2 linked regions of the Kluyveromyces lactis genome follow. The protein of the gene in region 1 purifies or fractionates together with the protein of each later gene. This does not show direct contact. Links are inferred from orthologs where the notes say so. Each region holds a gene or a part of one and is shown on either strand. Other genes may lie near its edges.

The links. The genes of interacting proteins can lie anywhere in the genome.
Region 2: the proteins of PIB2 (region 1) and KOG1 purify together in Saccharomyces cerevisiae (affinity purification with western blotting; 5 studies listed by BioGRID, with this or other methods). This does not show direct contact. The link is inferred for Kluyveromyces lactis from reciprocal best matches to the Saccharomyces cerevisiae genes PIB2 and KOG1.

Annotation. Positions count from the first base shown.
Region 1 is NC_006039.1:1,484,376-1,488,813, forward strand, and holds PIB2 (Pib2p), read right to left. Parts: upstream 2,594-4,438; coding exon 620-2,593; downstream 1-619. Other genes in the region: cystathionine beta-lyase STR3, read right to left, coding at 3,431-4,438. UniProt on the Saccharomyces cerevisiae protein: Functions as an intracellular glutamine sensor that directly activates the TORC1 signaling pathway, to promote cell growth when glutamine is available. May play a role in repressing NPR1 activity independently of TORC1 signaling.
Region 2 is NC_006037.1:828,886-833,358, forward strand, and holds the start of KOG1 (ubiquitin-binding TORC1 subunit KOG1), read right to left. Parts: upstream 2,900-4,473; coding exon 1-2,899. Other genes in the region: Elongator subunit IKI1, read left to right, coding at 3,545-4,432. UniProt on the Saccharomyces cerevisiae protein: Component of TORC1, which regulates multiple cellular processes to control cell growth in response to environmental signals. Nutrient limitation and environmental stress signals cause inactivation of TORC1.

The sequences.
Region 1 (4,438 bases):
ATTAATACTACTATTATTATTACTCTTATCATTCTTATTCTTATTATGTTTGGGAGAGAAAAAGAATGGTTTTGTAAATGGTAACATGGTGATGAAATTTAGAGAAAACAAAAAAGGATCCATATGGTTTTAGACGCTTTACTCAGTTCCTTCGTTTGATTAACGTTAAGGATGGTATAATATAATGGTAGGGATAGATTTTCCACACTGGAACGGGACACGATATAATATAGTTTATGATCTGAGCGAAATAAATGAAATGAAAAAAAGAGACAACAAAAAAGGCAAACGGAACATGGAAAATATAAGGAGTCAAACGAGCGATGTTACAGATAGTGACAGTGATAATGGCAATAATAATAACGAATAATAATAGAAAAGAGAAAAATTTGGAAAATCTGAAAATACCGAAAACAATAAATAACCAGGGTGACGAGAAATCCCCCTTATATTGTGTCTGCAATGGAAAAAAATGGGTTTTAGGCTCTATCTTCCGTTAGGGAATAAACTGGATAAACGTAATAAAATGGGAAAAGCATAGGCGAAAATGGATCAGGAAGTGTAGTAATAAGGATAACGAGGTGATGAAAACCAAAAGATTTGATGCAACATTCGTAAATTAGAAACTGCTCCAAGACCAATCAGCAGGAACACTTCCTACAATATTTTCCAAGTGCTGCCGTTGGTTTACACTACCCTCAGTACCATTTAATGCTTCGTCTATATTTCTTCCTGTTGCGGGTTTTGGCAAATTGAGTAGTGTGTTAGAATGGTTTCCACTATTTTCATTTTCATTTTCACGAATCGAACCAGAATGTGATGAAGAAGTTGAGGAAGTAGAAGTAGAAGGTGGTTGCTGCTGCTGCTGTTGCAATTCTGCCTGATCTTTGGCGGGTCCAGCCTTAACCAGAGTGTCATATTCATCTAAGCAACTGTCACATATTTTAGATAGCACGCCTAACCCTCCACAACCAATGATAAACTTGGCGTTAGGGTTTAAGTATAGCCAGTGTCTGACATGTTGCTGGCAAAAGATATCACCGCAATGCCTGCAGTGATGTTTTCTTTCCCAGAACGTGAAAATTTTGTGACAGTATTTACAAGAATGACGTTTGGAATCTGGAATCCAGTGCTCTTTGGTGGGTTGAATCAATTGTAATTGCAGATCCCTTTCATTACACAGCCAGGATTGAATTTTGTTTCTATAAGTGCTCACAATGGATGATGTGGTAGAATGAATACTTCTGGCGTAATTTGAATTGGAAGTGTTCGAATGTTTAGACAGCACAGCTTGTAAAGTTGTTTGTGTTACATCAGATGGTGTAGGAGAATGTGACTTCAAATCTTCTATCTTTATGTTCGTCTCAGAAATGTCTCTCAACACTGCAGGAACATACATCGGTTTCTTCGGTTCGTTAATCTGCTGTAAGAGTCTCTTCGAGTTAGATGAGGCTGTACTATTGGAACAAATGCCCTTAGCTTCGTTGAAATTATGAGACGTTCCATGTAAAGTTACACCAGTTGGTTGCGAAATAATTTCCAAAGATTGCTTACGAGCTTCGTTTTGATCCCCTGATGCCTCCATTGCTACAGAGTTCTTACGAATGGTAGCAGTTGTATCCAAAATAACGTTTTTTCCACCAAACTTAAGTTGAGTCAGAGGTTCTTTTGGATCCACCAAATTTTCACTCGAGGTCAACGGCGTTGTCTGTACTGATTTACATACAGCACCCTTACTTTGCTGCAGCAACGAAAGTTTCCTCAACGCATCTGTTGTCAACTTGTTTTGCTTTGAAATATCATCTTCTTCAGACTCGGAGTCATGAGACGAATCTATTGGAGATGCGTCGCCACTGGATTCATTTTCAGAGTTACTATTAGTGTTGTTGGTAGTAGTATCTGAGGCAGCATCTTCGGAACCACGAGATGACCCTTTTCTCGTCTTAGAGTCTGGATTTGCCGTATTCAGGTTAGAATTCGAATTCGAGTTCGAATTCGCGGTCGAATTGGAACTAGTATTCGAAGACGATCTCTGTTTACATAAATCCCTAGCAGATTTCCGTTTATCATCGTTAAAAGGTAACTGTTGGCCAATTCTTGAACGTGACTCAGTCATTGGTAAATCCGACAGGAAAGTTTGCTTGTTCTTGCCCGCAACCCCGTTGCGTTTCTTGACCATCGTAGAAGCCATAGCTGGCGACTGTATCTGTTGAGTGGGATTGATAAACGTCGTTGCAATACTGCTGCTGTTATTATTACTATTATTATTATTATTACTGGTATTATGATTGTGCATCGTATTGGTACATTCCTCTTCATCACAGTTCTGCGATTGAGGCCCACCATGCTCTCTAGTGTTCAACATACTCCGGAGTGAGAACGAACTCAAAACACTCTGTACAGACATGGTTCTGGCCCTAGGAACGACTTTCTGCTTCTCAAAAGTGATAGTCGACTTCGCCGATTTCATCGATGCTATTGACGTCTCAGACCCATTTCTAGACCCATTTCCAACTTCTGCTTGATTTTTCAGTTTTCCAGTACACGCAGCTGGCACATCGACCTCACTGGTCTGAGAATGAACGCTGCTCATCTAGTAAAATTCAAACGACAAAAGAAAAAAAAAAACCCCTGGATGTTATCTTATACTTTATAACTCAGACAGACAATGGAATTACACTCTTCTCTTCACGATTCAAAACACAATCTTTGAAAAACCAAATAGAATACAATATAGTGTGAAAAGAATGAAGCAAATACCGTCTTTTCGTCCTCCTAAAATATAATGAATTAGAACAAAACTAGTAGAAACAGTAGTAATAAAAAAAGGCCTCCTTCCGTAAAAAAATTTTTGACCAAAAAATAAAAAAAAGACAACTGTATAACCGAATGTCAACAAGTTCTCCCCAGTGCTCCAGAAACCTGCTAATGGTTGTGTTATTGAAATTCCTTACGCTATCACAAGATCTTTACAGGATGATTAAAGAACTAGATAAATTATGGGAGTCAAGGAGAAGTGACTTTCTAAAAAGAAGGAAATTATATTTTTTTGTTTTTATCGAATCCAGTGTTCTGTTCTCTCTGTGAAAATTGATTTCCAAAAATTGAATAATCCGATGAAAATTCCGTATTACTTTTCCGAGCTTTCTCGCTGCTGCTTACTACCAAAGGGTCGCTGTGGCTACGCAGTCATCTGGGTAAATCATCACTTTTTCCCCCTTTGAGATTACGGGTCTTTCATTTTCTAAGGAGAGACAAAGGGCGGGTAACAGAGAAGGAAGACTAAGTCACGTGATCGCTGATTCCTTTTCTTTTCTACCTTATTTATTGGTTGGCAATGGAGATGAGTTTGAGATGAGATGAAATGAAATGGATCAGTTAGAAGATTTACGTATTGAATATTATAGAGTAGATTTGGTTGTTATCCGTTCTACAACTTTGCAGTGTGTAGATGAGATGTCTTTGATACGAGACGTTGACCGAAAAATTGGTCGTAAACGTTGTAGTTTTCTTGGTATGTTTCTCCGATATTGTTTCTTGCAATGTGTCCGTTCTTCTTGTTCAATAAATATGTATCGTTACCTCTCTGTTGCAATTCGATCAAGCCTGCTTCCTCGAATGCGGCAAGTAAGTCATATTGTAAATCTTTGACGTCTTCTATCCCACAACAGAGTCTGATCAAGTCTTCAGGGAACGCTCTTTGTTTCCGTAGTTCTGGATCGATGGAGGCATGTGACATCTTGCATGGCATGGAGATCAACGAGTTGACACATCCAAACGATACCGTGACGGCCCATATATTTAGTCTTTTAGAAGTTACAATGGCTTCGCTTAGTGCTAGGTCGCCAGTCTCAATGGATAGCACTGCACCGGGACCATTGTTGAAACTTTTATGCAATTCGAACTGAGGGTGAGATTCCAACCCAACAAACCTTGTCTTTAGTTGCTGGTTATTATCTGTAGGCTTGAATCCGCATATATCTTGTAGCCAGTGCGAGAGCACCATTGCGTTTATCTGTTGTTTGTAAAGACGAACAGATAAGGTCTTGAGACCACGGATCAAGAGCCATGAATCCATCGGAGATAGACCGGCACCGGTACTGTTAATGACGAAATATACGGATGGAGCCACGTCCTTCTTGGCTATTATTACACCAGCCATGATATCGTGGTGTCCATTGAGGTATTTCGTACCGGATTCGTATACTACATCTGCTCCGAATTGCAAAGGGTTGGAATTCAAACCTGACATCATGGTGTTATCAACGACGATTTTACAGTTGGAACTTGAACCACCTTTTTGTTTCACAAATTGGCACAGCCTTGGTAAATCGGCGACTTTCATCAACGGGTTGGTTGGAGATTCTAAAAGCACGATATCAACTTGCCCCAAAGAATTGTACAATTTGATGAACGACTCGGCATCCGTAGTATCTGT
Region 2 (4,473 bases), on another chromosome or scaffold:
TGAGGATGTAATCTACTACATCTCCTGCAAGTTCTCTATTTTCGACAAATGGGTCTTCAGAAGAAATTAATAACGCTTTCCACACGGTATTGAATATGGAACCATGACCAACTGAAGTAGGATTTCTTGAGTCGTCTTCATGGCCATTCGTTTCTAGCGCAACTATTTCTGTGCTGATTTCAGTGAAAGCAATTACAGTGAAAAATTCGATATACCTTTCTACAACTTGAGATAAAAAGATGATCAATTCCTTCCGTACCATTGGACTACCATCGTTGACTAGCGAAAGGGTTGTGATAATGGTCTTAATCTCAAATTGTTTGAGGTTGCGTAAATTAATACTTTGCAATTGACTCATTGATGTTTGGACTTGTTGGGATTGTTGCTGAATTTGATAGTATTGTTGCTGTATGTGATGCGTACTATTCTGTTGATTTCCCTGTTGCTGCTGCTGCTGCTGGTTTTGTTGAGATTGCAAAAGCTGCAGCTGCGCTTGGAATTGTTGTAATTGTTGCTGAAATTCTTGTTGGAGTTTCAAGATAATGTTAACATCGTCTTCTTCAGAAAGGAAGTACTTGATTGCTAATAACGCAGCACATCTGATCTCTGGAATTGGATCTTTTAAAGACTCTATGATTGTATTCATATTTTCATTTTCGAGGCATAATGTCTTATGCAATGGATTGTGAATGTATAACTGACCAAGTAAAATGATACACCACTGTCTTAATAACGGAACTTCAGAATTTTCGATAAAGAAGCATAACTTGTTTACTAATTCAGTGCTGAAACAGTGTTTTTGACCAAGGGGGAAATCGCGAACAAAGCACGATAGGACAAATGCTGCCATTGCCTTTTGTTCATCTGTAGTATTATTGTTAGATAATAACGTCGCGTTATTATATGCTTGCTGCTGCTGCTGCTGTTGATACATCTGGTACCTCTGTGTTGAAGAACTTGCAGGTACATTCATAGTCAAGGGACTTCCAGCACTACTGACACTATGTCCTCTTGGGACACCAAACTCAGGTACAAGCATCTTTACAAAGTATTGGTATCCACGCTCCTTTATAAGTTCTGTTTGGGTATTTTTATAGTCAATAGAAAAAATTCTAGCCCAAATGAACACTAGAATTGGTTTCAACTCATGGGCAGGACTTTGTAGCAGTTTGGAAACATAAGGGAATATCCCAATTGAAAGTGATAGGTATACAGCCCATGGTCCAAGATCAAGAAATCTAGATAGCAGTACCAAAGTCCTAACACGATGGACTTGTGATAAGAGAACCTGTAGTACTATGGGGAGCTGCTCAGGTGGATGTCTTGAATTAGCCCCATATTTCACCCATAAATCAAATGCGGTTAAATTTTGCTCAAAAAATTTCGTAAATTGTTGCTGTTGTTGTTGAGAGGTAGTCGGGTGCGAGGCTGAATTACCGCTGGAGGTATGTGCTGTTGAACTAAAGTTTACCAATGACATGGAGCTCAGGTTTCCAATAGTATTTTTCGATTGCAGCCCGTCATTGGTTTCATTGCCTTCGTTTGGTTGGCTTATAAACTGTGATTCAGGGAAGTTTGAATTCTTTGCATTAGCATGAGCACTTTCCAGAAGTTTGGTCAATACTTCGTCGATTGCTAGATCCCACGATCTCCACATTGGATGATCAGCAATTGAGTCTGGTAACTCTGGGTCTGATACTGGATGACAATTGTACCAAGGCATTATTCTTTTGGCGAGTAAAAAGTTACGAAATAATGCCGCGACCATGAGGTCATGTCTGAATAGCTTCTTAAATAGTGCTCTTGGTAATGATGTCCATGCAATGGTATCTGTAATAGCAGTAAATATCCAATTCAATTCACCAAGGGGAGTCCTACGCTCAGACAATTTCCCCGGTATCGTAATGTTAGGCATTTCATTCACACCCGTCTCTTTTCTTCTAGGATCGTTATCTTGGAAGAACACGGAATATTTGGTGTCTTTCAAAGGAGATTGCATTAGAAACACCTTAACAGATATTTCTATTGGATTCGTTAGACAACAGGTGAAAAAATCTGCGGGTAATTCAGGGTTCATGGGCAATAATTCGTTGTTTGCACATGACGCTAATTGCACACATTCAGTGTATGCTTCTGTAGGTGAAGGTGATGCCATATCATGATTGCCTTCTCTATCGTCTCTCAATCTCTTTTGAACAAACTTTTTAAAGTTGGATACAATGTTACCAGCACTATTGCAATCCCAGACATATATACAAGGGGCTCCTAGCCAAGTTTGTAAATCATATAATGAAACCGGGATATACTGAGTATATCCACGGTTGAAAACCCAGATTTCTCCAGATGGTGTTGGTTGTGGTACACCATGACCGTTATAATGGAACAGAATTCTTTCGTCTTTCGAAGCCCTTCTCAATGAATTACAGAAGCGTTTCACATCTTCCACACAGGGATCTAAGCTCTGTTTATAACGAGTACGTAGTGATAGCGTCTCGTATTGACTCTGTAAGTTCTTTCCTATTTGTTCAATAGCTTTCTTAGAATCCTGAAATGCAAGGGGATCAACCCATGATTCAAGTCTTGCACATGGCTGAGTCTTAGTCACATCAGGAGGATCCACTCCCAAATTCAAACATAGTAATAATGCTGCTGCAACTGTCTTCTGCCTGTCCTTAACTATTTTCCAATCAGGAATTGGCTGGTAATATCCATCCTTATCCTCTTGCTTCACTTCCTCAGGAACTGGATTCCCATTGGTTCGATGCCTCTTATCATCGTAATAAAATATAAAATTGCTAGCATGCGCCTCCAAGAGTTTCTCACTTGAATACTGCTCTTCAAACCCATGTCTAGTCTCAGTATTAAGCCGTGTCAAAGGCTGTGGGCCGTAAACAACCATTGCTTCAGGATTGGTTCTATTCACAACTGGTTCTGATAAAAGTGGCAGTACCGGTCGATTCTGACAAAATTTAAACGCAGAAAATCGTACAAATAGTAATTACCTAACTGCTAGTCAATGAAGACTCGCTAAATTGACTTCAAACCCACTAAATGCTCTTCAAAAACCTTATCTTTCCAATCATTCCACACTTACTGACCAGTATCTGTATATGAGCTTACAGTATTTTTACGCAAACACTTTGAGTATATTGTTACCCGAATATTTTATATCAGGGTAACGTTGGGAAGATATCCAATAAAGTTATATCAACCACTTCAATACCCCCTCGATTGTAACCCAGATATTTAATAACCACAGTTTATCTAACTTTTACTGGTTTGCGCTTTCAAGTGCACTAAATGGGACCGTTATTGGATACTTTTATGTGTTTTTATTTTGATCTACGTTATAAATATGCAATTTCACATACCAAATGCTTGGTGAAATATTCACTTTGACAGGCGATGAGATGAGATAAGATCAAGGTTCATGCGGGGAACTAGTACTTATGAGTAGCCTGTTTTCATCTATTTCGACTGTTACAGCATTCTTTCAGGGTATCTGATCTATCACGAATATACTGCGTGCTCTTTATTCTCTGAGATGGCTTCTACTAATAATAATCCCAAAGTTCTATTGAAGAGGACGTTCTCACTGAAGGAACAATCTTCGCTAATACTATGTACCGATACGATGGCACAAAGCAGCCGATTTGTGGTTGAGGAATTCCTAGATAACATACCAGACGAAATGCCGATCGTTTTCGTATCATTTGAGACTCCAAATAGACCGAAATATGCACGCCAATTCATAGATGCGTCGGGGAAAACCACCCAGCAACTAGTTGCAGCATTACAACCATACCTACCGCAGCCACAGGAACAAGCTCCTAAGATGCATTTAGTGATCTTTGATACATTCAATTATATCGGTTCTGAAAGCTTGACACAATTCATATCTACCATTGCATCGCCATTTGTGACAATATTGGCTACATATCATCAGTCGATACCAGCCTGGCGTCCAGCAGAACTCCAGAACTATCCAACTGCGATCCAACTCTTGCAATTTATTGCTAATACGGTTATAGAAGTTACTCCGAAGACTTCCATAGACGAGGACGATTTGGATGCAGATTTAAGTAGATTTGTGATACCCAAGAACTTGAACAATCCCACATATTATATCACTCTAACGAACAAGCGAAAGTCCGGTAGGGCTATCAAGAATAAGTTCTTAATCAATTCGAAAACACATGATTATGAATATGTGATAGAGAAACAAGAACCAGTAACGGACGAAAGTCCAGAAATGTTTGAGGGTTTAACAACATTCAACTTGAACACTTCGGAGAAACAGAAGCTGGCAAAAGACCAAGTGGAATTGCCATATCTTGAAGCTCAATCTTTCAACAGTGGTGGTGCAATTGTGTATGAGTTTGAAAAGGATGATGATTATGACGAAGAAGACCCGTACGAAGATCCGTTCTGATCGCTAGAGTCTCGGGTTATTCTAGTTTCATTTAATTCTTT